Yarrowia lipolytica: one gene and its partners. The protein of the gene in region 2 interacts with the protein of the main gene of each other region in a pairwise test. Links are inferred from orthologs where the notes say so. Each region holds a gene or a part of one and is shown on either strand. Other genes may lie near its edges.

Region 1 (7,632 bases), on a different chromosome or scaffold from region 2:
GAACAATACCAAGAACTCTGACGGCGTGTGACAATGAAAAAAATGTTAGGTTGACAAAGTCGCCTGTTGGCTGAGCCACCATCCCACGTCGGATCTCTACTGCGAGCAACTCTATCGTGTGTGTTTCTTGTATACACCTTTTCTCAAACACCCCCAAACGCTACTCCATCTATGGTGTCTCCCCTGCCAACTCTATAAGCGAGGTTGGACACGGTTCTACGGCAGAGTTTGGCGCTCCAGATCGGGAATAATACGCCAGCTCCCGCATTGCCCCCAAACATTGGCCATTTTGCCCAGTCTTGCTTTTTGATACGGTCTTTTGTGAGTACTCTATGTAGTGTACTGGATGCCGAGGGGAACTTGTAGGAACTTGGACCTTAGGAGGGACTGTGGACATTAGACGACGCCAAATCTCTAGCTATTGCAGGTGCTAATGAAGCAAACTGGGCTTGTGTGCTCTTTGGTCAAGTCCGTGGTCTATAGCTGTGTCTCGATCAAGATCGTCATAGGTCTCATTATGAAGCGAGGTGGGCTAGGTACTTGGGCGATATCTGTAGTACTTAGCCGATGCAACATATCGAGACTGAAACAAGCCCAGAATGAAGGAGTTGGTTTTGGACAGTGGCGGCCCCAGCGGTTCCTGGACAATGTATACTCCTCCGTCCACCCTCGGGGGGACACACACACAACCAAGAAAGTGAATTCAAACAGAAACAGAGATTCATTTCGCACTAGACCGAAAATGGAGTGTTTCTTTGGCATAATGGGAGTGGTGGATCCTGTATTATCTCTAGTCCGTGGTTATTTTCACTAGAACGACACAGCCACATGATGGACAAACATTATCACGAAGCATGGCCAATCTTCTCCGGGAAGTGATGTCATAACACAGGGCTACATTGGTGGCGTCGGAGATTGAGGACTAGTCCGCGAGGATGGTGGGAGGAGGGCAAATGTGCCCGTGGTGTTTTGGTTCCTTCTACAGTGCTTTGTTAATGGCTTCAGAATGGTCGCGTTTTTTCTCAACTATTTACTCGGCATATATCAACTATTAGTTGGCACTTTAGTTAAGACAGGGAAGGTTGCGGGTTCGAATCCCGGTAGTGCGTCAATAAAGAATGTTGCTGTTTTCTTGGAACAGCTTCCGAAGAGTCGATGTGTGTTTTAAAGTGAATTTTCCTGTTAAAGGGTCTTGATAGAGCTGAGAATGAATCTCAAATTGCTCTGGTCGTGTCTAACTATCGACTGACAATGGAGACCATAGGTCTCAGCGGAGCCATGAGCTCTGTGGAGCCAGAGGATTCTTCAAGACGTCCACAACCGTCCACCAACGTCTACAACCGTCCACCACCGTCTACAACCGTCTACAACTGTCCAAAATCCGTCTAATAGTATACGATTCACGACAGACATTGAGAGCTATTCGGGAGTAGTTTTGTCTCGTCTGTCCAGTGACTAATGGAACCGACAAAACGCTGAATGACAGAAAAGGAGCCGGAAGGAGACGTTTGGACTTTAGAAACAACAGCTACAACTCGTTTATTAGCCCCGTTTCCTACTTTTCTTAGTAATGAGACAGTTGCGACCACACAAGTCCACTCTAGTATGCTAAACACTCGAACTTCAAGCAAAGCCAAGAGTACAGCTCGACGAGTTTTCAAACTGACACAGATGTGTATATCAGAGGCTGGTTTGTGGATTGTCCACAATTCAGTTCTCTGACCCTTCTACCAAGGGTATTCCTACTCCGGAACCAACAATACAGCAATACCAGTAGAACCAGTAGTACCAGAGGATGGGGAACAAGTAATGGCATTGTATCAGCAAAGGTGGACTCAAGAGAATAGTGAGAATTGATAATTTCACTCTACTCGTTAATATCGACAAGTCTCGGCCTGAGCTGGACGTGAATCATTCCGAACTGGAGGAGTAGAGGTCCAGGACATGGTTTCCGTACAATGAGGGTCTCCCACGGTCCATATTCTGGAGTAATTGCAAGTTTAGGCCAAATCGGATCCATTAAAACCCTGGCAAAAGTGATGGGTGTACTCTGAACTCCATCTTATGCGTTTCAGCCTACTACTGTGGATCAGGCGAGGTTCATGTATCGAAAAGTCGGGATTTAATAGATATATAAAGTCACCGAGTTGATAGATATCTGAAATAAAACCTTTCAAGCTGTTTCTGCCATTACTTGGGTGAAAAAATTGTACCCAACTCCCTTCCACTTCACGTAAGTATTCCCCAACTAAAAACTAACAGGAAGTCCCCGCGTTGTCTGATTCAGATCATATAAAACAGGATAGTAGTTATTGGTTGCACATATTTCTTATGGTCCAGGCTATCCCCTTCACTTTCAAGCCATATTATATAATTTCTTCAGTGATATCTCCACTGATCCTTTCAGAATATATTACTTTACAATTCAACAAAGTTTGAACAAGGTCTAACAAATGCCCAACTAAACAATCACAATGCACAAGATCCAATCCAACTGCACAATTACTACACCCATATGTGCAAATGTGTTACATCTATGATCTAAATTCACTTCTTATTCACGAGTGCTCACTCCCCTATCGTTCACGTGATCCCACTCCTCATTTCTGTAAAACATGGAACGTAGACAATAATATGAAATGTCCATCTTTTTAACCGGAAAAGATATGGGAATTCAGAAACTTCCAATCAATTCCCCGTCAGTCATTTGATCTATCTTTCAACTCCCCAACCCTCCAGCTTTTCTCTGTCATAAATTATAAGTTGCCAAAAATTCACCCCAGTACAGAAATCAGACCACATCTTCCCCAGCTCGCTCAAAATCCAATCTATATTGAAACCGAGACCTTGAATCGATTCTTACTTCGTCATTCACTCACAATACCAGCTCTCATAATCCCCCTTGGGGTATGTAAATGAGTTCCATTACAATACTCAGAGGGATAAACAACATACATGTCTCTATCACCCACCAGAGATACCCAGAGAGTATCCAAACAGTACCATTCGAGTCTCAGGGCCTCATTCTCTCAACTGCTATCTTTTTATTCCATAGAATCTCTCAAATCACTCCAAATCACCCCAAATCCAACCCTCCTCAAAAATGACTACAAAACCACCCTAGCTTCTCCTGTGGATGACCCTTGACAAATCTGGAACAATAACTCGAATCCCTATACTAAAATTACTCATTTATTCAACTTGCCAGTCCCCTATCATTTCTCAAAAGCCCACAAATCGCTGACTCATCGCCATCATCATTCAAAACAAAACATCTTCCCGACTTTTCCTGTAAAAATCCCACAACAAATCGCAAAACAGAACTGAATTTGTCATACAATTCTCGCCCATCTTCACCCTGGTTCCTCACTCAAAACCAACATATATCTCCCTTTGAAAACACACCAAATCAGTGTGTCCAGGTAGCACAGCTACAGCACAGCACAGCACAGCACAGTACACACGGCAGTTACTTACGTAATGCACCCAAAAGGACACCACGAATGTCACACCGTGTCAATTGTCACGTGTCAACGGACCCGACCCAAAAAAACAAACCGCGTCCGCTTCCCCATCGACCCTCCACCTACCTCCATCTTCTCCCCCACACTCCCCAGGGCTAGGGTTAAAATTTTCACCCTGAGTTAAGGTTTGCACTTTGAAAAACCACCCAGCATAATTTTGAGAATCACCACGCAACACTCACCACGACACACACAATGAGTGATCAATTCAACCAGGACTTTGCCAACAAGGCCAACATCAACGAGGGCCAGGGCCAGGGTCAGGGCCAGGGCCAGGGCTACGCTCCTCAGCAGTTTGTGCCCGGTCAGTCGTTTGTGCCCGGCCAGGCGTTTGTTCCCGGCCAGTCTTTTGCTCCCCAGGGCGGCTACGACCAGTACGGCGGCCAGCAGGGCGGCTACCAGGGCGGCTACCAGGGTGGCTACCAGGGCAACAACTACAACCAGGGCTACCAGGGCTACCAGGGCCGAGGCGGCTATTCCGGTCGAGGTCGGGGCGGCTACCGAGGAGGATACCAGGGTGGCTACAACAACTACAACCAGTACGACAATCAGTACGGCAACTACGGCGGCTACGACAACCAGTACGGAGGGGGCTATGACCAGCCTGAGGAGCCCCAGGAGAAGACTCTCACGCTGGAGGAGTACCAGAAGCAGAAACAGGAGGCTCTCAACAAGCTCAAGAAGCCCGCTGCCAAGTCTGGCGGAGCCCTCAAGATTGGAGGCGACAAACCCAAGTCTTCCGGAGGAGCCCTCAAGATTGGAGGAGACAAGCCCAAGACTTCGGGCGGCGCTCTCAAGATTGGAGGAGACAAGCCCGCCGAGAAGAAGACCGGAGGAGTTCTCAAGATTGGCGGAGACAAGGACAAGAAGGAAGAGTCCCCTGCCCCTGCTGCCGAGAAGAAGGAGTCCACTCCTGTTGCCGAGAAGAAGGAGGCTACCCCCGCTCCTGCCTCTAAGGAGTCTACTCCGGCCCCTGAGAAGAAGGAGTCCACTCCCGCTAAGGACGACTCTGCCGCCAACGCTGCCTCTGCTGACGCCCTGATCGCCGCCCAGAACGCCGAGATCGACCAGGAAACCATCAAGGAAATGTTTGGCGAGACCAAGGACCACATGTCCATCATTTTCATGGGCCACGTCGATGTCGGCAAATCCACTCTGGGAGGCCAGATCCTCTACCTCACCGGCACCGTCAACAAGCGAACTATTGAGAAGATGGAGAAGGAGGCTGCCGACGCCGGACGACCCGGCTGGTACCTGTCTTGGGTTATGGACATCAACAAGGAGGAGCGAGCCGAGGGAAAGACCGTCGAGGTGGGCCGGTCGTACTTTGAGACCGACAAGCGACGATACACTCTGCTCGACGCCCCCGGCCACAAGATGTACGTGCCCTCCATGATTGGAGGAGCCGCTCAGGCCGATGCCGGTATTCTCGTCATCTCTGCCCGAAAGGGAGAGTACGAGACCGGCTTCGAGCGAGACGGTCAGACCCGAGAGCACGCCATGCTGGCCAAGACCCAGGGTATCAACAAGCTGGTGATTGCCATTAACAAGATGGACGACTCGACCGTCAACTGGTCCAAGGAGCGATACGACGAGTGTATCAGCAAGCTGAAGCTCTACCTCAAGGGTCTGGGCTACTCGGACAAGACGGAGATCACCTTTATGCCCGTGTCCGGTTTCACCGGCGCTAACGTCAAGGAGCGAGTCTCCAAGGAGGTGTGCCCCTGGTACGACGGCCCCTCTCTGCTGGAGCTGCTTGACTCGTTTGAGCTCGAGCGGAACCTCACCGGCCCCTTCATGCTCCCCATTTCCAACAAGGAGAAGAACCTGGGTACCATTGTGGAGGGTAAGATCGAGGTTGGCACCGTCAAGAAGGGCGACAACCTGGTCGTCATGCCCTCTAAGGTCCCCGTCGAGGTCACCACCCTTTACAAGGAGACCGAGCAGGAGGTTGGCGGCGCGTCTGTTGGAGAGCAGATCCGACTCAAGGTCAAGGGCATTGAAGAGGAGGAGGTTCAGATTGGACAGGTTCTCTGTTCTGCCGCCCAACCCGTTGCTGCCGTCACCGTCTTTGAGGCCCAGATTGCCATCACCGAGCTCAAATCGATTCTGTCGACCGGTTTCTCTTGTGTGATGCACATCCATACCGCTGCTGAGGAGGTCACCTTTACTGCTCTGCTGCACAAGCTGGAGAAGGGTACCAACCGAAAGTCCAAGAAGCCCCCGGCTTTTGCCAAGAAGGGCATGAAGATCATTGCCCGGCTCGAGACCCAGAACCCCGTCTGTATGGACGAGTTTAGCAAGACTCCCCAGCTGGGTCGGTTCACTCTGCGAGACCAGGGTCAGAGTATCGCCATTGGTCGAGTTACCAAGCTGTTGTAAGCAGCTCATCTGCGAGCGTGACGAGCCGCCGCTGCCCGTAGGTTTTTCGTGCCAGCGGTCCAATAAGGAAGAATGTAAAAATTGTGTTAGTAATGAATGTTACTGTTTTAGGAGGTTACTGTTATCAGATGGATCTGTGTAGAGTAGAATAGGCCATGGCTGGAGGCATCCAGGGTCACGTTCAGCAGTTTCAGACAAGTAAGGTGCTGTACTTCTTGATGACCCTTCATGTCCCAGGCCAACATGAATTCGGGTCATAGCGGGAGCTTTTGTACCACAAAACGTTGAATTAATGACACCAATGGAATCAGGAGGCGATTCTGAACACATTGATATGTTATTTTTATCTGGAAAGCGTCTCTCCTTGGTTGTACGTTCCTTCTGTTTCCATTGACAAATGCACCTATAGGTGGGAATTTTGTGTGGTGAGAGGGTGCGATAATGGTATAAAAGGAATCAGGGCAAGATTCTGAACAGATGGGTCAACTGTTTGCTATCTCTTACAATACTATTATTGAACTATTTCGTTAAAACTGTCCATTATACCTAGACATGCGACAGTTTTTACCTAGTGGAGTCCGCGAGTCGCTCAAACCCCCAGAAGACTTACAGTACCATGTTTCTGGATTCCAGGCCGTGGTTGTATTCAACTACTCCACTCTGTCACCCACTTGACTGGCGTTTCAATCTATTGATGAGACAGTCCCCACTGCAGACAACTGACGGACATTTTTGGAACAGTATGTCAACAGATGTGGGTCCAACTTGAAGTCACGTTGTTTACTCCGAGTCCCGGGACCAACTACAGCCATTCTAACATCAACCAAGGGTTCCCTTGTGCTCCTATACAGCAACACAACCGACCGACTCTGGACCAAGCCACTGTTTCACTTATAGCTCTGTCTGCTACAAGTTCAATATGTCAGGTTGGCCAAGTTGCGATCAAAAAGATACATTTCAGACGCCCAAGAAGCCGCTAACGCGCTTTAAGACAGGCCCAAATACCCGACTATCGTTTCCCCGAGAAATGTTTTAGCAGTTTAAGGGTCGTGAGACACGAGCTTGGCTATGGAACAAACACACGGGCTACAAGGAGACATGTAGGCTCTGTAGTGTGCATTATAGCCACTTGGAATGAGCGATAGCCACTTGGTTGTCTCTAGTGCGAGCTATAGCGAGCTATAGCGATTTGGTGTGGGTCTACACTCGCTACCAGCGCCGCAGTAGTTTGTTCTTAGCGGATTAGTGTGGATCCAATGCGTCAAACAGAGTCAAACAAGACCACTTTGGAGCACCATGGAGCAGCGTCAATATAACTCCTGGTGGTCTTCCTTGTACCCCAGAGTTTAGCAAGACCCCAGGTCCAATAGTGTAGTTGGTGGGGTGCAGTAGTTGTGTAGTAGGACTCGGGTTTAGCAGTGTTGGCCTTGGGCTTGACATCTGTAAGGGAAAGTGCGCCATCTGGGCTGGCTTGCGGATGCAGTACTCAACTCGTGCTGCTAGTGTCAGTCAGATGGTCAGAGCTCACCAGATGACAGGGTGCTCTAGATACTTGATTGGGCAGTTTGGAGCAGTCTGAACAGGTCTGGCGGTCTGGAGAAGCCCAGAATCGCACCTGGGATTCAGCATACCGTGCAAGTTCTGGATGCACCAATACGAGACCTCAGGCGTCATTCCAGCGTTCCTTCTTGAGTCAGTCCCTTGCTGAGACTTGTTTCACAGCCCT
Region 2 (9,196 bases):
ATCAACGAACGAGGTGAATTTGATTGAAAAGCAACGTACACTCACGTACGACACTCACGTACGGCTTGTGCCGGTTGTTTTCTCACAAGACACCCACTCGCACTACTGTAGCTACAATCTGCACCAACAAGCAATATCCATTCGCTTATGCGTGATTGGTGCAGATAGGCCGTTTCGCCGACCTGGGGTAGGATACTAGTCTAGAGATAACCAAATATGAAGATGAAAAACCACCAACACAGATTACGAGCGTTTTTACCGTGAAACAGACATGTCGTGGACTTATGGCTTCGCTTGGGACACCCTCAGACGGCTGTTTCTCCGCCGCCCATCTCCCATCTCGTCCTGTTTCAAGGTTGCAAGCGTGCATTATCAGCTGAAATGAAGCGGCCAAACTCTAAGCTCAGGACGCAGGTTGATCCGCGGCAGAGACCGGGCCAATCTTGTAGGCCCGATAAACACCCCACGCGATTAGAGCCAGGCAGCTAAGATATAAAGGTGAGCCATCCCGCAACTAGACCCCTCCTCCAAACGACACCAGTCACGACACTGACACCAAGCGCAGTCGCAACACTTACACAAACGACGACATGACAGCAGACACTCTCACGGCAATTCCTCTGCCCGACGCTCCTCTGGGAGCCACCATCCAGCTGCCCACCGGCATCACCGATCCGGCGGATCTGAACGACGCCGACTTCCAGAAGCTCAAGGAGGCGCTCATGACATACTCCGTGGTGGTGATCCCCGACCAGGCCAAGCTCAAGCCATCGTCGCAGTACGCCATCACCAAGCGAATGGATCCTTCCTGCGGAGAGGGAGCATACGGCCACTCCAAGGAGTTCCGACACAAGCAGTCCGTGCTGGCCAAGGACGGTCATTCAGTGCCCCACCAGCCCCAGGTCCAGATTCTCGGCCAGGGAACCCACTACAACCACGAGGGCGTCGACCAGCTGACCCTCACCCACCCCATCCACGACACCTTCCACAAGAACGTGCTCACCGACGAAGAAAAGGCCCAGGGATACACCCGGTTCTACCGATGGCACATTGACTCGGCACTGTACGGACTTTCCCCCCCTGTCTGCACCACTCTGCTCGGAATCGACGTGCCCCCTTCCTCCAAGCACCAGAAGGTCAAGTACACCGACACCGGCGACGAGCTCGAGCTGACCCAGGCCGCCACCTGCTTTGTGTCTGGCGCCAATGCATTCAAGCTGCTGTCGCCAGAGGACCAGAAGCTGGCTTTGGAATCTACCGTCGTCTACGCTCCCCACCCTTACATCTTCATCTCGCCTGCCAAGGCTACTGATGATGGTCTGACTATGGTCAGCGAGGGCAAGGAGATGGATCTCGAAAAGCTGCCCGAATGGGAGGAAAGCAAGGTCAAGCGACTGCCCATGGTCTGGACCAACCCCGTCACCGGCGAGCATCATCTGCAGGCCCACGGCTGTTGTGTCCACAAGATTGAGCGAAAGAACGGCGAGGTTTTGCAGCTCGAGGACGCTCGAAAGGAGTTGTATCGAATCATGCGACCCAACATTGATCCCAAGTACGTCTATGCCCACTCGTGGAAGGCCGGCGATCTGGTGCTGTTCCACAACCAGGGTGTTTGGCACTCCGTCACCGGTCAGTTTGCTCCTGACGAGAAGCGACTCATGCACCAGTGCAACATTGCTTCTGGAGTTGATCCCGTGTGCAACGCCTAATTTATGAGATTGATTTATGTATTCATGTAATAATTTATTCGTGTTAAGATGATAATGGGTACAGGCAAAAGTACATACTGTACTCGCGTAGAAAATCTGTTCCACATAACCCGTTTTTTATGGGTCTTTCTTCGACCATCTATAGTACTTGGGACGGACAGAAGTCTTCGTCCAGCTTATCGTGTTGACGGGGTCTCATGTCCACTTGGTGTTGGTGTTGGTGTTGGTGTTGGTGTTGATTTGGTCAGAAAGTTTCACTACAACACTCAGCGACCCGTGTTTGTAGAAACCACCAACGGCACGTACAAGTACGATATGATTAAATAATGCATTCTATGTTAATGTTGCGGTAGCTGCTACCATGGGACAATTAGGACTGTTCAGTGGACGCAGACGCAGACGCAGACGCCGACGCCGGAGCAGAAGCATCTGTTGTCGATGCAGACGCCGAAGCAGAAGCCTCTGCGGATGCAGGCTCAGTAGAAGCGGAATTGGACATGTCTGGAGGCTGAGGAGTTTCCGAGTCCAGCTTCTGCTTCTTTGCGTCGCCCTCTCCCTGCTCCTTAAGCTTGCGTTTCAGCAATCTCGCCTTGGTTTTCTCCACGTCACACGACCGCAGCTTCTTTCCAATCTCCTGCACATACTCCTTGGTCGGCTTGTCCACCTTTTGCAGCATGTCAACGCACTCCTGAACCAGCTTTGTGGTCAGGTTGAACTGCGCTGGGTCGCTCATCTTCACTCGCAAATACTGCTCGGTTATCTGGCTATTTGTGCACATCATGGCCGCGAGCGAGATTTGCGGAGGGGTAAAGAGGAAATTTGCGTCGGTTAGAAAGCTCAGAGACACGTACTTTCTGGCTCCATCGTACAGAGACCCGACTGTCGAGGCAGGAACGTGGGGCAGCGACGTCTGGATGTCGAGATAGAAGCCATGCAAGGGAGTGTATGCGCTCTGGGCGCTCAAAGAAAACAGCATCGACTGCATCACCACAAACTCGAGTTGCAAAACGTCCTTGGCCACCGCTCCAGTGTATTTGCAGAACTGGTTGATGGAAAAGAAGTGATTCTCGGCTTTGGTGGCCAAAAAGAAACACGTATGCAAGACCTTGACGGGGTCACTGTACACCATGACGGAGTTGATGAGGAAAAACTTTTTGAAGAAGAGTACAGCTGTTGCCTTCACTTTAGAAGGTAGATTGAGAACTTGGGCAATTCCCTCGCTCTGAGAACACATGTAATTGACCATGGTAAGTTCCTCGTCAACAGAGAGGATTTTGGCCATGGCGGGATCGAGATCCGCCGCTAGAAACGACTGTTTGACAAACTCGCGGCCGTTGGTGTTGGTTTGAAGCCGTCTAGCTGCCAGTTGCGTCGGCGTAAACGACCATTTTTTGAACTGCGACGATTGCCGGTAAATATCGTCGTCCGTGACCGTTTTTGTGGCCTTGGATGATGCTGTAGTGCTTGTCATTGAATGAGTATTGTAGTGTATTGATGCTGCTTAGTTCTGTTTCGAATCTTGATTCAGAATTATGTAAGCTGCGATGGGAAGGCTTGACCGGGGTTAGGGTTGGTTTCATTCTAAAAATTAAAAAAATAATTTTAGACGGTGAGACTTTAAACACGTGATCTGTATACAGCTCAAGTAGTACATACGGGTAGTAGCGCTAGTTGCAGCTGTACACCTTTGAAGAAAAACGGCGGGATTGTTGATAAGCTTAGTAAGCAAAACGAGCCGAGTCCGTTGGGTCCTCCGGTCGCTTATTAATCCAAGGGAGTGGAGTGTGCACAGCCCTGGGCAGGTTAGGGCTACATGCATGAGTTGCGTGGCTTTAACGATTATGTACTCGCACTGTACTAAAGAGGTTGGGGGCAGAGATGAGGTGTCACGTGTGTGGGGGTGTAGTTGTGGTTTGTTTTGTGTAACTTGAGACCGGTCGCCAAAAAGTATTTAATCTCTCTGTTTCCCGCGGTTTTCTGCTACCCTTATCGCTTGATGGCTTGTGCTCTGGTGCATCACTTTGTTGAGCCAATTCACTCACGCTGTATAGCTACTCCCACACACCTCCCACCACATAAGCTCACAACCATTGCTGTGCGCATCTGACAAGTCATCAACATAGCTCTGGCCCAGCATCGCGACATCGACAATGCCGTCTCTGTTCCACGGCGTGTACCAAGCGCTCTACGACTATGAGGCTCGTACGGAGGACGAATTGACCTTTTCCGAGAACTCGCTTCTCTACCTTTTGGAAAAGTCGTCGACCGACGAGTGGTTAAAGGCCAAAAAAGCTGGACCTGCGGGCACCAACGAAATCGGACTGGTTCCCTTGACTTACATTGAGCCGGCGCCGGCCAAACGACAAGCCTATGCTCTTTACGACTACGACAAACAGACAGAGGAGGAGCTGACCTTCAAGGAGGGAGACGCACTGACAGTCTACGATGACAGTGACAGTGAATGGTTGCTGGTGTGCCGCGGAGGAGACGAGTACGGATTTGTGCCTGCAAACTACACCGGCGACGCTCCGCCATCCGCGGCCCCTGCCCCCGTGGCTGCTATTCCCACGCCTGTTGCCGCCATTCCCACCCCCGCTGGCCAACCGACGACGCCCATCACCAAAGACTCACCACTACCTCCTCTTCCAAAGGATGCCTTCCCCCCGCCCCCACAAGCGTACCGACCGCCTGCCTCGACCACCCATGCGTCCACCGAGCCCGTCTACGCCAACGGACGGGACGAAGAGTCTCCCCCTCCCATGCCTGCCCGACCAGGCGGAAGCGGAAATGGAAGTGGACGGCCCTCTTCGGGAGCAGGCGACAGCCGAAGCCGAGGCTCGTCCGTGTCTCGATCTCGAAACGCTTCCTCTGCAAATGACAAGCCTTCCTCGTCTTCTGCCAACTTCTTCACATGGCCTGTCCAGGAGGTGGACGGACGGAAAAAACGAAAAGCGACTCTGGCGATTGGCAACGGCATGATCATGTTCTCCCCGGAGCGATCGTCCGGACAGCCCCAACAATGGCCAGTCAAGGATCTCGTTAACTACAACAGCGAGAAGAAACATGTGTTTCTAGACTTTAAGCACCCCACCGTCTCGTTTGATCTGCACCTGGGAAGCAAAGATACCGCTGACGAGGTGATCTACGCCCTTGGCGAACTCGCAGGAGCCTACAACTCTTCGGGACTCACCGAGGTAATGATGGCAGCCAACTCGGCCGGCCAGAAGCTCGGAAAGGTGCTGTACAAGTTTGACGCTCAGGGTCGAGACGAGGTGTCTGTGGAGGAGGGCGAGAATGTGTTCATTATAGATGACACAAAGAGCCGGGACTGGTGGATGGTGAAAAACTCGTCTGGAGTCGCTGGTGTCGTCCCCAGTAGCTACATTGAGATTGCGCCCAGCGAAAAGACCCTCAAAAAGGTAGTTGACCAGCAGAGGAAGGCCAGCGGCTCGTCGCGTGATAAATCACGTGACCGATCCCGTGACGACCGGTCTCGAGATCGAGCGGACAAGCGATCGTCTCGATCTTCCAGAGACGCTCCCAAGTCCAAGCCTGATCCTAGAAAGGTGCGAACTTGGACCGATCGGTCCGGTGCATTCAAGGTAGACGCCGCTCTGCTTGGATGTGTGGACGGCAAGATCCATCTGCACAAGGTCAACGGTGTCAAAATTGCCGTGGCCTGTTCCAAAATGGCCATTGAGGACTTGGAGTATGTGGAGGACGTGACGGGCGTTGATCTGGAGGAGGACAAGCCCCTTTCTCGAGATCGGGGCGGATCTTCGCGAGACCGACGACGGTCCACCTCTCGGTCCGACCGGCGAAAGTCGTCATCGGGAGCAGCGTCTTCTGCAAACGCTCCCAAGCCAACTCCCGAGTCGGACTACGACTGGTTCGGATTCTTTTTGGATTGTGGAGTCGACGTGCATGCCTGTCAGCGATATGCCACCTCGTTCACACGAGATCAGATGGACGAGTCGATTCTGCCTGAAGTGACTCCCTCCACTCTGCGATCTCTGGGTCTCAAGGAAGGTGATATTCTGCGAGTCACCAAAAAGCTTGACGAAAAGTACGGTCGAAGCGGCACTGGTACTTCTGCCAGCACTCCTGTGGGCGGCAACCCCTCCGGTGGCCTGTTCTCAGACACCACTGGTGCTCTGAAGAACAACACCAGCAAGACTCTTACCAAGGCAGACGATACCGATCCCTGGTCGTCTCTGGATAAGCAGCAGGCTCCTCCCCAGCAACAGGCGCCCCCAGTTCAGCAGCAGCCCCCCGTTCAGCAGCAGCCTATCCAGGCTCAGCCCACAGCTCCTATTCAGCAGCAGCCCATTCAAGCTCAGCCTACTGCTCCCATCCAGCCTGTTCGAACCGGCTCCATCAACGATCTGATGAACATCAAGCCTCTGCAGCCCACCCCGACATCTTCCAACCTGCAGACACAAGCTACTGGTGGTATCATGCAGCCCATCCAGCAGCAGTACACCCAGCAGCCAATGTCCCAGTCCACGAGTGCTCTCCCTCAGCAGAGCATGAACACCGGCATTCTTCCCCAGACCACTGGGCCACTACAACAGTCTCTTACCGGATCTGCTCCCGTGCAGAATCCTTTCCTAACTGGTGGTCCCAACACTCTTCTCAGTCAGCAGACTGGTGGGCTGGTTGGTGTCCCCACCGGCGGTCTTGTTGGTGTCCCCACAGGTGGACTTCAGGGCGTTCCTACCGGTTACACTGCTCAGAATGTTCTTGGCATGAACCAGCCTGCAAACACGGGCGGGTACTCCATGAATGCCATCACCAACGCTCTTGCCGGTGCTTCCCTCAACAAGCAGCAGCAGCAGCAGCAGCCCATGGTCCAGCAACTTACCGGAGGCAGCATGTTTGGCCAACAGCCCATGCAGCAGCAGCTGACGGGCTCCAGCATTTTCCAGCAGCAGCCCATGCAACAGCAGTTCACCCAGCAACAACCAATGCAACAGCAGTTCACTCAACAGCAGCCAATGTCGCAGCAGCTCACTGGTGGCAGCATTTTCAATTCTCAGCCGCAGCAGCCTTTTCAGCAGCAGCCTATGCAACCTCAGCAGACTTCCTTCCAGCAGCAGCAGCCCTTTTCCACTGGAGCTTCTGCTTCGCCGTTTGGAAGCCAGCCTACTACTCCTTTCGGACAGCCCCAGCAGTCTGCCGGTTTGAGCTACTTTAACAACATCCAGCCTCTGCAGCAGCAGCAGGCGTTTGGTCAACAGATGCAGCCGCAGCAGACCTTCCAGCCGCAGCAGCCTTTCCAGCAGCCTTTCCAGCAGCCTTTCCAGCAACAGCAGCAGCAGCCTTTCCAGCAGCAGCAACAACAGCCTTTCCAGCAGCAGCAGCAGCAGCCCTGCAGCAGCAGCAGCCGTTTGGTGGCCTGCAGTCGCAGCCTACCGGCTTTGGTTTTGGAAACAGCTCGTCACCCTTTGGAGGCATGCAGTCTCAACAGACCGGAGCACCTTCCACTTCTTTTGGTCAGCAGCCGCTACAGCCCACCGCCACGGGTCGTCAGCGAGCCAACCTGGCCTCTGCCACTCCTAACAATCCCTTTGGTTTTTGAGAGGCTATGTATGAATAATGTTATGATAATGTAATTGGCGACTTGTATGTGAATGGACGAGCTAATTGAAAATGTGTAACAGGTATTTTGATAACCAGAATGTATAATCTCATGTGACTTACAGTTGCTGCCATCAAGATTAAATAGATTAATAAATGATTTGTAACAGCAACAACAATAATGGGCATTTTTACTCCTCTAATCTCCAAACCGAGGTGTAGTTGCAGCAGTCAAAATTACGGTTTGGAAACAACATTAAGGTTTTATTGTCTAACAGAAACTGCATTTTGAAACTTTGGGGTCACGTGACCCGTGAGTCATGTTGAAACCTCCATTGCGATGTAGCCAACCCATCACGGAGCGGCATGGCGCAGCGGAAGCGCGCAGGGCTCATAACCCTGATGTCCCTGGATCGAAACCAGGTGCCGCTATGTTTTTTTTGCTTATGGGGGGAATCTTGTGGTTAGCGTGCTGGGTGTGGCAGTACGTCAAGTACATCCAGTAATGTCAGTGTGATTCACGAGTAGCCATTGCTGTGTTATAAATCGACTTTCGGAAAACCTGTGTAGACCAAAGATAGGCGGAGAGGTGTACTAGGGATGATTGGAGTCCAACTTCAGGATGTATTATACCTTGCAACCGTGGCTCAATAAACAGTAGCTGATGAGTATACATGTTGGCGAACGTCGGAGAACTCGCCTTGGCCAGAGGACCTGGGCCCTGTAAGATTTCTACTTGTAGTGCAAGGCTGTCAGTTGACCCAATTATCCTCAAAGGTAGTCTGCAATTCGTCATCTCAGACTGTCAAAGGTCAACAGGTTACGATTCCTGCGAGTATTGGTTCGTCCATCGGTCAATAGTAGTCACTTTGACAGTATGTTTTGTACTGTAACTGATGGTCGAGTTGTAAGCGCCAACCTCAGACTCTTTAGTTGAGGGCTACAAGTAGTTGGAGAGAAAGTTGTTCTGCGAAAGTTGAAAGAGCTCATGTAAAGAAGTGCTTGATAAAATGTACACTTGGGCCTTTCGAGTAACGTGACGGCCGAAACGGTACACTTTCTGTTTCACTATTCAGAGTTATTTTCGGTTTTGAAGTTGTTTGATGCATTGAAGTTATGCATTGTTAACTTGTTTTTAGTTAGATATTAGTTAGATATTAGTGATGTATTAGGAAAACATAAGTAGCCTCAACAGCATTTCAAACAAGTATTATGTGCATGGATGTACTGTACAGACAGTATGTACACTGTAGTAAGCCTTCAGCCTACAGGGACAGTGGTAAATGTGATGGATAACTGACAGAAATTGGCCATTCATTTCGTCTTCCACCCACTATCGGAACTCCATCTTCTCTACAGTCGCGATTTCAGTCTCAGCAATACATCACCACATGCGTCAAAATAAACTCTTGCAGAGACAAAATCACAACATCTGGTATCCTCACCATCACATCCAACAATGTCGGATTTCACACAAAAGGTGGAGAAGAAGTTTGGTGAGCTCGTGATCGAGCACTACTTCAAGAGCGAGCCGTTTGTGTACTCGTCTCCGCTCTTCAACACGATTGGCGACACGCGAAAGCTGTTTCCGGACCGAAAAAACATGTTTGATCGACTCTACGAAGACAACATCAACCGGGAATCGCTAGCCGAGACGCAAAAGCTGTTTCCTCCTTCGAATTACAACGACCTCGTCAAACTTGTGCGGCGGATCGAGACCGACAAGACCACAGAAACGCTCCAGGATGACCTGCAACAAAACTGTCTAATCTACTATCTGCTTCTGGACGCCAACCAGGAGGCAGCTGACGCCTACGCGACCGAGATTCTGCTGCCTGTGGCTTACAAGCATTTCATGAACGGCTGCTACGCCCTGGATCGAGCCGACATGAACACAGCTGTGGAGG
Region 3 (7,246 bases), on a different chromosome or scaffold from region 2:
GATGATGGTTCCACGCTGTACAGATTGTAGACAGGACTCTGGTACTTGTCAACTAGTGGAAATCTCATCGAGGGTAGGAACGTCTATTCTCATACATTCCTCTCTTTATCCTCGCAGAGAGTCTCAAAAATGCATCTCACTCGTCTGAGAGTTCCGACTTGAACGATTCGAGGTCTGAAGGCCGCTAATCCCCAGAGAACATTGTTCATAGAAGGCTCCAAGATGCTCCATAATCTCTCAATTGGAGAGATACAGACAGTAACTGTGCAATTGGTTCAGTGCAAGTCATTTGCTCAATAAATACATATAATACACACCCTCCTACCGCTTGAAGGGCTTACAAACACCATTGGTGTTCTTGCCACACACAAAACAGTTTTGCTTCTTCTTATGCTTGGCCAGAAAACACTTTTCGCAAAAGTAGTGACAACACTGAGTCACAACCGGACTCTTGAATTCCCCCTGACAGATGGGACATGTATCCGGTATACCCGAGTCGGCGCGCGAGGTAGCGGTGTCTGCGTCACGTGACACTCCTCCGGCATCACGTGGTGGGTCATCCTCTCTGTTTTTGATCTCCCATTCTCTTTCAATCTGCCATCCTGCCTTGTAATCTTCTCTCATGTGCAGAAACTTGCACGAGTCGCCGTATCCACAGAATCCCGTCAGTTTGTAGTCTTTACACACGTCCGGTTGGTAATCTTGGCTTGTGGTGCTCTTGATATTGGACGAAGCCTTTAGTCCTACTGTGGTAGTGGTAGTGGGTTTTGAGAAGGGGACTTTGTATGGGCCCTTTGACAACTTTTGCGAGTCATCCGAGTCGTCTTTGGCGTACAGGATTGTCTCCTTGGTTGCTTCGTCAGTTTTAGATAGGTTGCGGGAATGGGAATGGTCAATGGTGGAAGAGAAAGACGGAGCTCTCACTTTGGTGGAGGTGGCAACACTTGTTGGAGTGGTGCGTTTCTGGGTATCGTTTTTTCTGCGTTTGAAGGCGCTGGAAAGCGCGGATTCATCTCCAGAGCCTTCGGACGACGAATCCGAGTCGATTATGGTGGTTCGTTTCTGTCCCGCGTTTTTCTTTCGTTTGAACATGTTGCTGGAGAGTTGAAGTGGTGTGCATCAGGTTGGCGATTAACGTTTGGATGATGGATGATGTAGTTGGGAATTGGAGGAATTAGTTGGAAATTCGGAGGATGGTGACAAAATGAAGAAATCTAGTTGGAATAAAGGAGAACATTAGTTGGAAATTGAAAGAACGTAGTTGGGGATTTGATGAATTTAGTTAACAAAATGGAGGAATGTAGTTGGGGTAGTTGAGTGGAACGGAACGATATAACTCCATCAAGAACGAAGATTTTGATTGCAAAAGAAAAGATTCAAGTCACAAAAGAACAAGCAATAATCCCAAAATCATTCACCAACTCTCACCCCCCAGACAACAAGCCACAACCTGTGCTTCTGACAATGTACTGTACTCCACCACCGCCCAACTCATTAGCCAGGGACAAGAACTGACAGAAACAAAAAATACAACACTAATGGCCTTTCTAAACCACCCCTTAACTCCCCCTTACTAAACTCTGCCTCTACATCACGTGACCCTTCAAACTGCTCGAGAACTCCGCCTGATCCGCATCGGACCTGAAAACTTGTCCGACAAGGGTGTCGAATCGACCAAAATCGAAGCCAGAGAAAAACCAAGCATATCACGAGATTCGCCTCGTCGACAGCTCCATTTTGAGGCGTCCAAACGTCCCGTTCTCGGCCGGGCCAGCTCCCACGGTCTATTTTTAAATTCCCCGAACCATGTTAATACCTCACGCCAATTTTCGCTGAAACTTTTTCTGCAAGGGCAACCATATTGGGATATGTACAAGTAGCGGGAGTTCGGAGCAAGTGAAGCCATGAGAGAAAAGAACATGGGTTAGGTATTATTGGCAGTATCAGGGTCGGGATACTACCCGATCCGGATCACTACCCTTACCCTTACCCTTACCGGAATACTACCCTTACCGCCACCCTTACCGCCACCCTTACCACCACCCTTACCACCACCCTTACTGCTCCATTCGCTCCCCAATAAACTTTGCCATCACCCCAGATTAGAAAGAGCGTGCATTTGGGAGGTGGGGGCATTGGGTCCTAAAAGATACAGCCCTTCCCAGATTCAGATACCAGTAACCACTTACACACACGGCGCGGGGGATCAAAAACCGGCACAAAAAGACCAGGGGCTCCAGAGAGAGAGAGAGAGAGAGACAGAGAGAGACAGAGAGAGAGAGACAGAGAGACCCATTCAAGTGATATACGGGGAGAAACCATTCAAGAGCGCCAATTCCGACCAGCAACCGACGAGAACAGCCGTGGAATTCTGGGGACTGTTTATTTACATCCACGTGATACTGCCGCGGCGACATTTGAGCATTTAGGAACAGCAACGACGACCAGATCAACAGGCGCGTTGCACGTGATTTGACCATTGGTTTGAATTGATTGGAAATCACGTGATATCCCGTCTTGGATCACGTCGAGACTTGAGCAAGACCGAGGTGATCGACTCCCAACAGAGAGAGAGAGAGAGAGAGAGAGAGAGAGAGAGAGAGAGACGAAGCCATTTGTGACTTGCACGTCGAGCACGGACTGCTAAACTACAACACTGACCACACTGACCACTAAACTACAACATTGACCACATTCGTTTCGGTCCATCATTGGTGAGTAAATATGCCCTATCTCAAGGGGAAAGGTCAAACTCAGCTAAGACCGCCATACTAACTCAGCTCACAGACAGCCCATCATCGCTAACCGGTTCACTCTATCAATCCAATGATGGAAACACTACTGGAAAGTCTCATGAGCTCCGTCTCAGACGAGCCTCTTCTTGCACCGGACATTTCCATTCCTCCAGAAGAAGATGGCGACATGTCGGACTCGGACTTCTGGACCAAACTGCTGGATATAGTCTCTGTGAAGACCCACTCATATCCCGTGGTCGAGTCGGCACTGAAGGACTACCTCCTATTTGCAACTAAACATTTATCTGATTTTCTCGTCTCCGACAACGATCTCTTTCGAGCAGGATACAAGCTGACCACTTCTCCGATTTTCACGCTCCACAAAGCCTTCACCCGTCGCAAATTGATCGCCATGTTGACGTTGGCAGAGGAATACACAGACCTGGCGGCGGTGGTGTCTTTGATTCTGCTCATAGACTCTGATTCGCATCCCGCCACTCTGGAAATGATGCAAGAGGAAAACGCATGCCATGCGCTGACTCGGCTCTTGCTGACGTTTCAGAAGACGTCGGCTTTACGGCTCAGAAGAGTGTTGCTCGAGCTCACGTTTGAAATGTGCAAAATCCAGCGAATTTCCACGTCAGACTTGGAAAACATTTCCGACAAGTTTATCGACTCGCTCTTGAGGACCGTTGTCAACGCAGACAGAGACGATACCTCGCTGTACGACGCTTCCGTCATGAAAGTCTTGCTCTGTCTCAATGAGCAGTATATGATTGCAGCTTACGATGAAGACGAAGAGTCGGGGATTTATTCGAGTAAAGTGCTGGATCTGATTTCCCTAGATATCGACGGATACGTGGAGTTTGGCGCAAAGTTGGTGCTGTTACTGAATCGAGCGATAGATACATGTCTTCAGATCATGGGTCTGAAGCTGTTGTATTTGTTGTTCACGAATGAACCCACTTATGAGTATTTCTACACAAACGATCTGTTGGTGCTCATCGACGTGTTCATTCGAGAGCTCCACGACTTGCCCAATGACGAAGAGCAGCTCATTAACACGTATTTGCGAGTTCTCCACCCACTTATGGTCAACTCCCAAATCAGACACGAGCCGTACAAGATTGAGGGTCTGACTGATGTGTTGGAGATGCTTTCAGGTCACAAGGGAAGTAGTACTTTCCTTCCAGTATCAGAGACGACATTACGACTGGCTGTGAGATGTCTCGGAGTCCCGTGGCTGGAGTACACGTTCCCGTCTCCCATGAGCACCGTTCCCCCCTCTCCCAGTTCTTCTATCGGCTCGTTCAACGAGGAGGAGAGCCCCTCAAAGATCCGAGTGCCCAGCATTGGTATGACCGATTTCAGTGGTACTCGGCGACTTAGTCAGAGTTCTCTGGGCACCAATTCGGCCATGTCATCCACCACATCGCTCATTTCCTCACTCAAGCTTGCGCCACCGCCTCCACCGTCACGTGCGTCGTCCAAGGGGCCTCCCGTTCCTCCTCCGTCTAGAGGCAAGTCTCCGATGCCGCAAATATCACGGGTCAAGAGTCCAGCTCCTCCTCCGCCGCCGAGCAGGAATTCTCCTGCGCCGAAGAAGGACGTGAAGGAGTCTCGTGACAAGAAGGACAAGAAGGAGAAGCCGCGGCTGCCTCCCAGCAGAAAGAAACTGCTCGACATGAGTATCAGAAATACCAGCGTGGGAGATTTAAGTGTTGCCGAGCGGGAGTAGGAGATGGAGTTATTGGGTCAGAGCATGAGTATGACCAGGCAATCATCCTTGAGGGACGGTCATAGGTAGAGATAGAGGCTGGTCTTGTGATACTCTAGTTCCATGGTTCCATGGAGTCAGGGCTCGCATACCATTGAATCATCTCAGAGTCTTGTCACCGTTCATTTGGTAAGAGTCTTGACAATGGCAAGAGTACACAACACTGACAAGAGGGTCTATGTGAGGCAAGTAAAAGGAAATGGACCAGGAGGACATAACAGAGTCCAAATCAGCATCTATTTATACTACCACAATACTGTATATAGTTCAAAACACAATCCAACAATATTAGAGGAGTGAGTAGCTGTAGAACCGTCGCCAGGAAGGTTTCTGTTAGATCAATCAGAGTATGTACTACAAGTACTGTAGTATCTACGAGTAGCGGCGGCCAGTCTCTGGTCTGACTTCGATCTGGTGTCGCAAATGGAGGGCTAGGTAGTGTCACATTTCTGAGCCCTAAAGTGGTTGAAGAGACATGAGAAACACACCGATCGATAGCCCTCTGCGAGTTCAAAACGAATACATCATTTGCTTCAGAACTGATTGGTGAAAGGTCTCTGCTTACTGGAGCCCTGAAGAAACGCTGTAGAGCGGGAACAAAGGCGGTATTGTTTTCATGTCGATTATGGCCCCAGTTTGAGTGCCGCAATACCAAGGTCCGAGACATTGACCACCACCGAGGAGGTGGCTGGCATGTGGAGTGCGCTCTCATCGAGGGCGGCCCCGACACATGGAGATCTTCAATGTACCGACGCCAACGCCAAGTGGTATTAACCATTCTGGTTCTGTCAATGGCTCTCGGGAGAGGTTGAAACACTGTTGGGTTCGCCAAAGCTGAGATTGAAGATAACATCTTGCCGTTAGTAGGGACTAGTCGACCAGGGTTTAAGTCATCGTAGCAGTCACATTATGTAGGCAGTATATAACTGACAGTGACAGACTTGCCGACACCGTTGGCTGTGATTTCCGGTCTATCTCTCCAGCCTCCCAGGAATCAGTGTCGGTAGTCTTTGGTTCGGACGACTTGATGTCTCATTACCGGCGCTGGCTGATCCTCCGGTACCTCAATCAGAGAAAACCCGACCCACTCATCCCCCACTACAACGGCTTTGCGCTGATGGAATGAACTCATGGATCGGGAGCGCCATGTTCCATGCCCGCGGCCCGTGACCGGGAAACTTGACTACTTCTCGGCCGACAGACGAGACTTCAGAGAAAATACCGGCTTCATTCTTGCCTCAGAGAATCCCCCGTCTCATTCTTGCCTCAGTCTGTGTCAAGCTCTTCCTGGCTCGCGTTTCGTGTCTTTCCTTCATCGAATTCGACCCAGGACACAACATGAGGGTTAACGTAGTGGTCGGTGCAATTTGACCTCGTGTCACCTTCTGGGTCACTATGGGCCTGCAGCTGTGTGATGTCCCACCATGGAAGTTTCTCATCGACGCCCACTCGCTGTGGCACACTACTACCCTGATCCCCTGATTCCTGTAGTACGAGGAGCTGATGGCTGGAGACGGAGACGTTGCCATACGAGAGAGAAGTGCAAGGTCCTTGGTACCGTTAGGATTATCGAATTGGTACCATTGGGGTGGCCGAATTGGTCATGGAGTTCTTCCTCTCTTTAACTCCAAGAAAATGCTATGAATACATGAATTAGGCCTTTGTAGCCAGAGGGTACTTTCTAGGCCGATCTTGAGGACGTCTAACGGCGCCCTGGTATCGCCGGTCTCGACGTGTGGATCTTGATTTCGTGGTTCTTGGTGCTGCTTTCCCCACCGTGTTGGTCATTCGAGGAATGGGGTAGTCTGCCTCAAACTTGGAGTACGGTAGTCTATCGTGGACTCAACCTCGGCATCACTCTTGCTGTCACCATCCTTCTCCCCTTCGAGTTTCTGCTCTTCTTCGATCCCATAACCGTCCTTGTCGTCCACTACGACGATCCTCCATCCAGGCTCCAAATCCTCTTTAGTAGGAACTTTTGTGAGCAGCCTTTCCGGCATCGGAGTCCAAATCAGCTTGGATGGCGCTGCTTCAACTGCACATTGTTTTTGACTACCTTATCGATGGCCACTTCAAGCGAATAGCTGTCTCAGGGTTTCTGACCAGACGAGTGACTCAAGAGCAGAGACGTCATCTGGTGTTGTTAGTCTTGAGGAGCAGTGGGATAGCTATCGCACTGACCAGAGAGTGGCAGTCGGTCGGCTGTCGGGTGGCTGTCGAGTGGCCAGCTCGGTCGTTTCGACCTCAATACCTGACAGCCATCTTCTCCAGTACGAGATCTGTTTCAAGATGAAGGCGTAGTATACTGGCGGTTGAAGGCGATTTTGAGCTTGAGCGCGGGCAGATGGGACCTTCTCAGGGGGCTGCGGGTGTTGGTCGAGGAAGAGTGAGAGGAAGAGTGAGAGGAAGAGTGAGAGGTTAGGGATGGTTGAGTGAGAGTGAGAATGAGAGGTTGAGTGAGAGGAAGAGGTTGAGTCAGGATAAAGTGAGGGTATAAGACGGTATATATAGAACTGAATATGAACATTTGGGTTCGAATAATGGTTGAATAGTTGTTCAGTCGTATTAACTACGTTGAAATCTACAGGATTTTCTTTTTTTCTTTCTCGTCTCTTCATTTGGGGTCTTTTGTAGAGTGCTTTATATCTCTTTAGTTGACTTTAGTTCAAGGGTGAATGATTAGTTGGCTTTAGTTAGTGAATGAATTGAGGTAATAGTTAACGGTGACCACTGG
Region 4 (6,513 bases), on a different chromosome or scaffold from region 2:
TCCGATCGTCTCTTATCTTGCGGAAAGTTCTCAGTCGGTAGAATTTGTCGCTGTCTTAATCTAACCGTTGCTTCGCTGTCTGTAATAACGTTCCAGGCTGGTGATAACTTGTTTCTTAATCATACATAAATGTCCCTTCTTATATACTCCCCCCCGGGGTGCGTCCCAGGTGGGAAACAAGTCACCCTTGCACGTGACCGGCACCCCCAAGCCCTTAGTAAGCGACTTTGGTCCTTACAAAAAATCAAGGGTTCGGTTTCTTTGTCTAGTTTGTCATGGCATCTGCCTTAACACGCAGAACGTCGGCAGTTGATCCTGCCAGAAAATCATCCTTTTCTTCACGGTTGTATAGTGTAGCGGTTATCACCTTGGGATTCTGACTCTTAATAAGTCGTCTTCCAGTAACCCCCGGTTCGATTCCGGGTACGACCTTTTTGTCCTTTTTGCCTTGACGAGAACCAGATTTGCATATTTTTTGGGCTCATTCGGAAGCCCTTGATGACATCTCTTTATTGGTGAAGTCCTCGACGTCCCACCGTGTTCCTGGAAAACGTGGTGGTTGGTTTCGTGTGGTAGTTCTACTGCAATAGATGACGATGGGCCGTTATATACAAGAGGAGAGGGAGATTGACTGAAAGTACTGTATGTACTGTAGCACGATAAAGCCAGATCTGCTACTGTCTGATCAAGTAATTGAAGGGACGGGGAAGATATCTGTTCTAGTTGCTGTTATATGGTCTTTTTGCGGATCTTCATCAGTTTGTGCTTCGACTAGTTGTCATATCTAACTACCATCCACCTTGCGCTACCCTAACAACACCAACCACTTTTACTTGATTGACCAACAGCAGGGAAGTAGACCGCCAGTGCTCTGAATATGGCGATTACGGGGGGTCATCAGTCTGAGCCTTCAGGATGGAAACTCGGAGCTTTAGCTGGGCCTCAATCTACGCCAAAAGATACCAGAATTCCGAAAGAAACATAAAAGTCCCCGGTGGGTATCATTGGAACCAAAAGATTGATATTAACAAACCCCCTCATTCCTCCTACATAGACAACGGTCTTAACTCATACTTTACATATCTTGCGCTGAAGACGCCTCATCACGCACCCAATTTTCGAAAAGCAAAAGCCAGATAGAACCCACAAGCCTCTCGCTGGTCTCCGTCAATGCCCAGAGACCCATCCTCCTTGAATACCTTCATTCGCTCAGCCAATCGAGCCATGTTTAGATCGTTCTTCACCTCCTCATCAAACATTTCCAAAAATGGCTTCTTGTAGATCAACTCCAGATTGTAATCGGAAGCCAGGGCACGAAACACCTCAAACGGAACAACGTACTCGGGGACATTGTTGATAGCGTCCTGCAGGTAAAAGGTGTACTTGTGTCCAAACGGAGGTCGGAAGGCCTGGTCCTTGGTGGGAGGAGTGTTGAATTCCACCTTGTAGACCGAGTTTCCAAAGTAGCCGTATCGCTCCTCTCCCTCCTTCGGCTCACTCTCCTTCAGACCACCGGCAATTCCCTCCAGAATCTTGTCGGAGTTGGGAATGGTGCCCAGAAATACGCCGTCTCGGCAAAGTGAGTTGGACACGTTGGTCAACATGCTTCGAGCCAGCTCCTCAGTAGCAAAGGCATAGTGCATGGCGAACTGGGAGGAAATGCAGTCGACTGGAAACGCTCGAGGATTGATAATGTCAATAAGAGGGGTTCCAAAAGCATCAGCAACATGAAACTCGGCATAGAACCGAGGCCGAGGCTGCATGTTATGATACCGCTCCGACGCCTGCTGCACAGACACATCGGCAATATCGACTCCAATGTAATCGCGAACCCGCTGTCTGCTCCACTTGTTCAAATCTCCTCCCTTACCACATCCCATGTCAATGACACGCATTCCAAACCCAAGCGACTGCTTCTGAATCAAAACAGACTTGATGAAGTTGTTGAAGTTTCGCAGCTTGATAATAGGCGAAGACTGACGAGCAACAACACCTCGCTCAGGAGCCTGGTTGTAATGGTTTCGAACCAGAGAGTCGCCCACCTGATCCCCTTGCTGAGCAGCAGCCTGCGCTCGTGCCTCCCGCTTCTCCATCTCTGCACGATATTGAGCAGCTCGCGCAGCAGCAGCCTCCCGTCCTCCTCGCTGCGAAGGCCGCTTCTGCTTACTGGGAGCAGGGGCAGCGGGATCGTGCGGCTTTGGCTCGCGAGTGGGTGATAGCGACCGCTCACGTGACTCCCGGACATCTCGGGTCTCACGCGAATCGCCCGAATCATATCTCTCTCGCTCTCGGTCATGTCTGTCACGGTAATCACGGCTGTCACGGCTACCGCGGTCGTAGTCACGTGCCCGGTCGTCGTACCTGTCTCTCTCACGTGAGTCGTAGTCACGTACCCGGTCGTCGTACCTGTTTCTGTCTCTGTCTCTGTCGCGCGAGTCGTAATCGCGGGGCCTGTCTCTGGAATCATATCTGTCTCTGTCGCGAGAATCGTACCTGTCCCGGCCTCGGTCTCGGTCTCTGTCTCGGTCTCTATGGTCACGTGAATCTCGATCCCGATCCTGCCGCTCACGTGACTCCTTCTCACTGTAGTCCACATAGCTGCCCATGTCGGCCCGAGGAGCAACCCGATCGCCAGCCACTCTCACATCCTCGCGCTCCCGTCGTTTGAGCTGCGGCTTGGCAGAGGCCGCGTCACGTGATCCCGAGGTGGTTTCCTTGCGGGCGATTTTTGGCAGGTAATTGTATGCTGGTCGTTTTGTTTCCGACGTTTCTTGCTTGGGATCGTTTCCGTCGGATTTGGTGGAGTCGGACTTGGTCTCGGGGGTTGCTGAGTCAGCAAGAAATTCACCGCCTGCGATTTCCGCGGCGTCTCGGGCGTCAGCTGACTCTCCTTCGGCCTGGTAGCAGTCGCGCGCTGGGTCGTACATTGTGTTCGGTGGTGTTTTGGATGTGCAGAAAAAGATGGTGATGGTGTAGTTGGTGGTTTAGAGTTTCCGAAAGTGGTGAGGGCTAAACATGGATAATTCTGGGGATACTGGGGCCAAAATTGATATTTTTAGGATCCTGGCGGTTCGAAAAATACAATGGTAACGAAATAATTGTGTTTTAGTGCCGTTTAAACGATGCATATGGATTAGGTAATGGGAGGTCGGATACGTGAACCTTAAACGAATTAGGGTTTTATTACCCTCGGCATTTTGGTGAAGTTTTGGATATGTAGATTTGGCTGAAAATTTGGATGGGAAGTGCTGGAAGCTGGCGGTGGTGGTGGATGCAATAATCATCAAATTTGGAGCATTATTGGGGGAGTTTTGGGGGTTGGGTTTTGTTAGCAGTTGTGTCTACTTTAAAGTGAATGGTTGGGATTTTTCACTGGACGAAATTTAAATAATAAAATAATAAAATAAAATAAAAAGAAATAAATGAAATGAACTAATAAAATACATAAAATGAAATGAACAGGAAATTAAATAAATGAACAGAAATAAATAAAATAAAATAAACTAAAATAAACTTAAACTAAACTAAACTAAAATAAAATAAAATAAAATAAAATAAAATAAAATAAAATAAAATAAAATAAAATAAAATAAAATTACTCAAGAAATAAAAAAATAAAAATTAAAAAACTAAAAAAATCTACAACTACAGAAACTCCCTCTCCCTCCTACACACCCAACAATCTCCTTCCAAAATTTGACCCTCATCCTTCTCATAACCTCTGCGGTGAATCTTTTTACATGTGTCATGCACGTCTAAAAAAAATCCCGTCCTACATCTACACACATACACGCACAAACATTTTGCGACCAGAATGAGCGGCTACGAGACTCTACCGCTGAAAATGCCCAAGGGCAACACGCACTATCTGTACATGAAGAAGGACGACAATTCTGCTGCGTCGGAGGACTCGACGATCTTTGTGTGCAATCTGCCTGCGGACTCGACTCTTTCTCACATCAAGGCCTTGTGTCAGAGTCTGGGGGGCAGCATTGTGGAGAGTTTTGAATGGGTGAATGTGAGTCGCAATGTGCGGGCCGAGTCGCTGACACATGGTCTTTCTGGCGGCTGCGGTCGTATTCACATGGTGGATGCGGCTTCTTGCAACCGGGTGTTGAGTCAGGCCAAGAAGAATGCTACATGTGGAGTCAAGTGGGACGCCAAGCTGACGATTGGCGGCAAGCAGCGATACCAGTTGCTATGGAAGTACTGTTTCCCTGCGCCCGACGATTTGCAGGCCGAGGTGGACTATTTCATGGAGGAGTTTGCGGCCCGAGAGGAGGAGGAGAAGAAGGTGGAGAAGACGGGCCGAACGGTGGTGGACGCCGACGGATTCACCACGGTGGTCAAGACGCAGAAAAAGAAGTCGTTGGCCATGCAGGAGGCCGCCAAGCAGCAAGCCGAGGAAATGAAGCTCGCTGAGATCAAGCGACGAGAGAAGCGGGAGAAGAAGGATTTCTACCGGTTCCAGATCCGAGAGTACAAGAAGGAGCAGATGACCGACATGCTGACCAAGTTCAAGGAGGATCAGGAGAAGGTCAAGCAGTACAAGGAGAGTGGGCGGTTCAACCCGTATTAGGGCGCAGTAAGAAGCACTTCAGACTGCGTTGAGAACCGCGTTCAGATAGCATTCAGACAGCCTCTGACAGCATTCAGACAGCCTCAGACAGAATTTCATTTTGACAGCCTCAGACAAGTGAGACGTCTAATCTGACGATTTGCTGCTCACTGAGAGCAGTTGATGGCCACTGCTTGCATGGTGTGGGTGGCTCAACCGCGGTACTACGACCACGGTACCACGAGGATACAAAAGACAACAGACAGTTATAGATAATGGATATTGGTTATGAAGCAGTGTAGATACAAGAGGGGAGTTCGAGGATGGAGACTCAGGACGAGGCAATGATGATCCAATGCGTATAGGAATACGCCGACGATGTTTCAGAGCTTGATCTTTGGTGTGACTCGGATCTGTTTCAAAATAGATCTCTCACCCACGGATTTAATCCGGTGTAACAGTGTGTATGAACACTGTTGCTCGTCTCACAGCGAGCGATAATGCTCCGAAAACAGCGGCTCAGGGTTCAACTGGTTTTTAAAAGCGGCCCGTTTGTGGCTGCCTCGGTGGCGGGTAAAGTGAGCAGGTGTTTGGTAATCTCCATGTCCTCAGAATGCACTTTTGATCAACAGATGGTGGAACTTTTGAGCCAACTGTGGACTGAACAGTGAGCAACAGTGTGGGTCAAATATCGAGAAATCAACACAAACCAGCGTCGGTAGGATATCTCCGACAGCGCAAGCCACAGCGGAACCGTGTGCCTGATTGGAGGCGTCCACAGTTGATCTTCGAATCCTAACTAAGCTATCAGGTTAACTGTCTAGAGATAAGAGATGAACTGGGGACTGTGAGGAGGTAGTCACGTGGGGATTGGGTCAAAGTGACATCAAGAGATCAGGAGAGTGAATTGAAGACCGATTCACATACGCCCCGACTCTTTTGGTCCTGCTGTCTCCCTCCAAAATGCGCAATATCCAGTCCTTAAGGTTCCTTGTAGATTAGATAAGGAAAAGTTTGCGGATATCGTGGTGTTTTCGAGCTGGATCGACAGATACATCGTTGATGTTGGGCTCATTCGAAAGCGGTTGATCTCCTCATCCCAACGGTCCACTCATAACCTCGAAATTGTCTCCACAACCGTCTCATCTCAACACCCCTCATATCCAGTTTAGCTTTCGCTAGTGTCTGGATAAAATCATAAAACTGCCAGACAAAATGCCCACACAAGGGTATATATATCTCTGGCGAGTTGCTGAAGATGACTTTTGGCCATTTCTGAAAAATGAGCAAGTGCAACGACTCGAAATCGCTCGAAAAAACGTTCCCGGACCCTGCAGATGAAAAGCTGGACGTGGAAGTAGGAGAGGTCAACGATATCACCCTGGATGCCGCTACAGACAAACGACTGCTGCGCAAGATTGACATGTATCTGTGCCCAGTCATGATGCTCGTTTACGCGGTCCAATTTATGGACAAGAGCACCAATGCCACCGCTTCGGTTATGGGTCTGAGAACAGACCTGCATATGGAGGGCAACGACTATTCATGGTCGGGAACGGCCTTCTACCTGGGATATCTAGTGTTCGAGTTTCCAGCCGTGTACATGCTCCAACGACTACCTTTCATCCGAACTCTCTCAGCCTTCATCGTTCTCTGGGGTGTAGTATTGTGTCTCCATGCTACCCCCAACTATCCGGGATTCATTGCTCTGCGAACCCTCCTGGGCATGTTGGAGTCGGCTGTTACGCCGGCCTTTGTCATCATCACGTCTCAATGGTACAAGCGCGAGGAGCAGTTTCTTCGGACGTCTTTCTGGGTCGGATCCAACGGCCTCGGGATCATTGTTGGCTGTCTGATGGCTTATGGACTAGCCATCAACCACCATCTTCCAATCCATGGCTGGAAGCTCGTTTTCATCATCACTGGTGTCATCACCATTGCCACGGGGATTCTGA

What was found.
Region 1: the proteins of YALI1_A06672g (region 2) and YALI1_B11083g interact in a two-hybrid assay, tested with the Saccharomyces cerevisiae proteins (2 studies listed by BioGRID). The link is inferred for Yarrowia lipolytica from reciprocal best matches to the Saccharomyces cerevisiae genes SLA1 and SUP35.
Region 3: the proteins of YALI1_A06672g (region 2) and YALI1_C30884g interact in a two-hybrid assay, tested with the Saccharomyces cerevisiae proteins (2 studies listed by BioGRID). The link is inferred for Yarrowia lipolytica from reciprocal best matches to the Saccharomyces cerevisiae genes SLA1 and LDB17.
Region 4: the proteins of YALI1_A06672g (region 2) and YALI1_C18892g interact in binary tests that used the Saccharomyces cerevisiae proteins (3 or more experiments, as listed by UniProt). The link is inferred for Yarrowia lipolytica from reciprocal best matches to the Saccharomyces cerevisiae genes SLA1 and RRP7.

Annotation. Positions count from the first base shown.
Region 1 is NC_090771.1:1,104,659-1,112,290, forward strand, and holds YALI1_B11083g (uncharacterized protein), read left to right. Parts: upstream 1-3,719; coding exon 3,720-5,906; downstream 5,907-7,632. Other genes in the region: YALI1_B11111g (uncharacterized protein), read left to right, coding at 6,459-6,568, 6,622-6,841, 6,902-7,051; YALI1_B11120g (uncharacterized protein), read left to right, coding at 7,420-7,422, 7,478-7,632. UniProt on the Saccharomyces cerevisiae protein: GTPase component of the eRF1-eRF3-GTP ternary complex, a ternary complex that mediates translation termination in response to the termination codons UAA, UAG and UGA.
Region 2 is NC_090770.1:663,435-672,630, forward strand, and holds YALI1_A06672g (uncharacterized protein), read left to right. Parts: upstream 1-3,859; coding exon 3,860-7,324; downstream 7,325-9,196. Other genes in the region: YALI1_A06634g (uncharacterized protein), read right to left, coding at 1-53, 98-200, 248-370; YALI1_A06640g (uncharacterized protein), read left to right, coding at 591-1,709; YALI1_A06666g (uncharacterized protein), read right to left, coding at 2,080-3,180; YALI1_A06721g (uncharacterized protein), read left to right, coding at 8,749-9,196. UniProt on the Saccharomyces cerevisiae protein: Component of the PAN1 actin cytoskeleton-regulatory complex required for the internalization of endosomes during actin-coupled endocytosis. The complex links the site of endocytosis to the cell membrane-associated actin cytoskeleton.
Region 3 is NC_090772.1:3,084,034-3,091,279, reverse strand, and holds YALI1_C30884g (uncharacterized protein), read left to right. Parts: upstream 1-2,826; coding exon 2,827-4,473; downstream 4,474-7,246. Other genes in the region: YALI1_C30910g (uncharacterized protein), read left to right, coding at 2-142, 196-300; YALI1_C30901g (uncharacterized protein), read right to left, coding at 322-1,092; YALI1_C30859g (uncharacterized protein), read right to left, coding at 4,742-5,365. UniProt on the Saccharomyces cerevisiae protein: May be involved in protein-linked oligosaccharide phosphorylation since the deletion reduces the negative charge of the cell surface.
Region 4 is NC_090772.1:1,886,593-1,893,105, reverse strand, and holds YALI1_C18892g (uncharacterized protein), read left to right. Parts: upstream 1-3,814; coding exon 3,815-4,579; downstream 4,580-6,513. Other genes in the region: YALI1_C18901g (uncharacterized protein), read right to left, coding at 1,104-2,927; YALI1_C18878g (uncharacterized protein), read left to right, coding at 5,059-5,193, 5,237-5,323; YALI1_C18872g (uncharacterized protein), read left to right, coding at 5,841-6,513. UniProt on the Saccharomyces cerevisiae protein: Plays an important role in the synthesis of 18S rRNA but is not required for the 5.8S and 25S pathway. Is necessary for the cleavage at site A2. Is required for efficient association of RPS27 with the pre-ribosomal particle.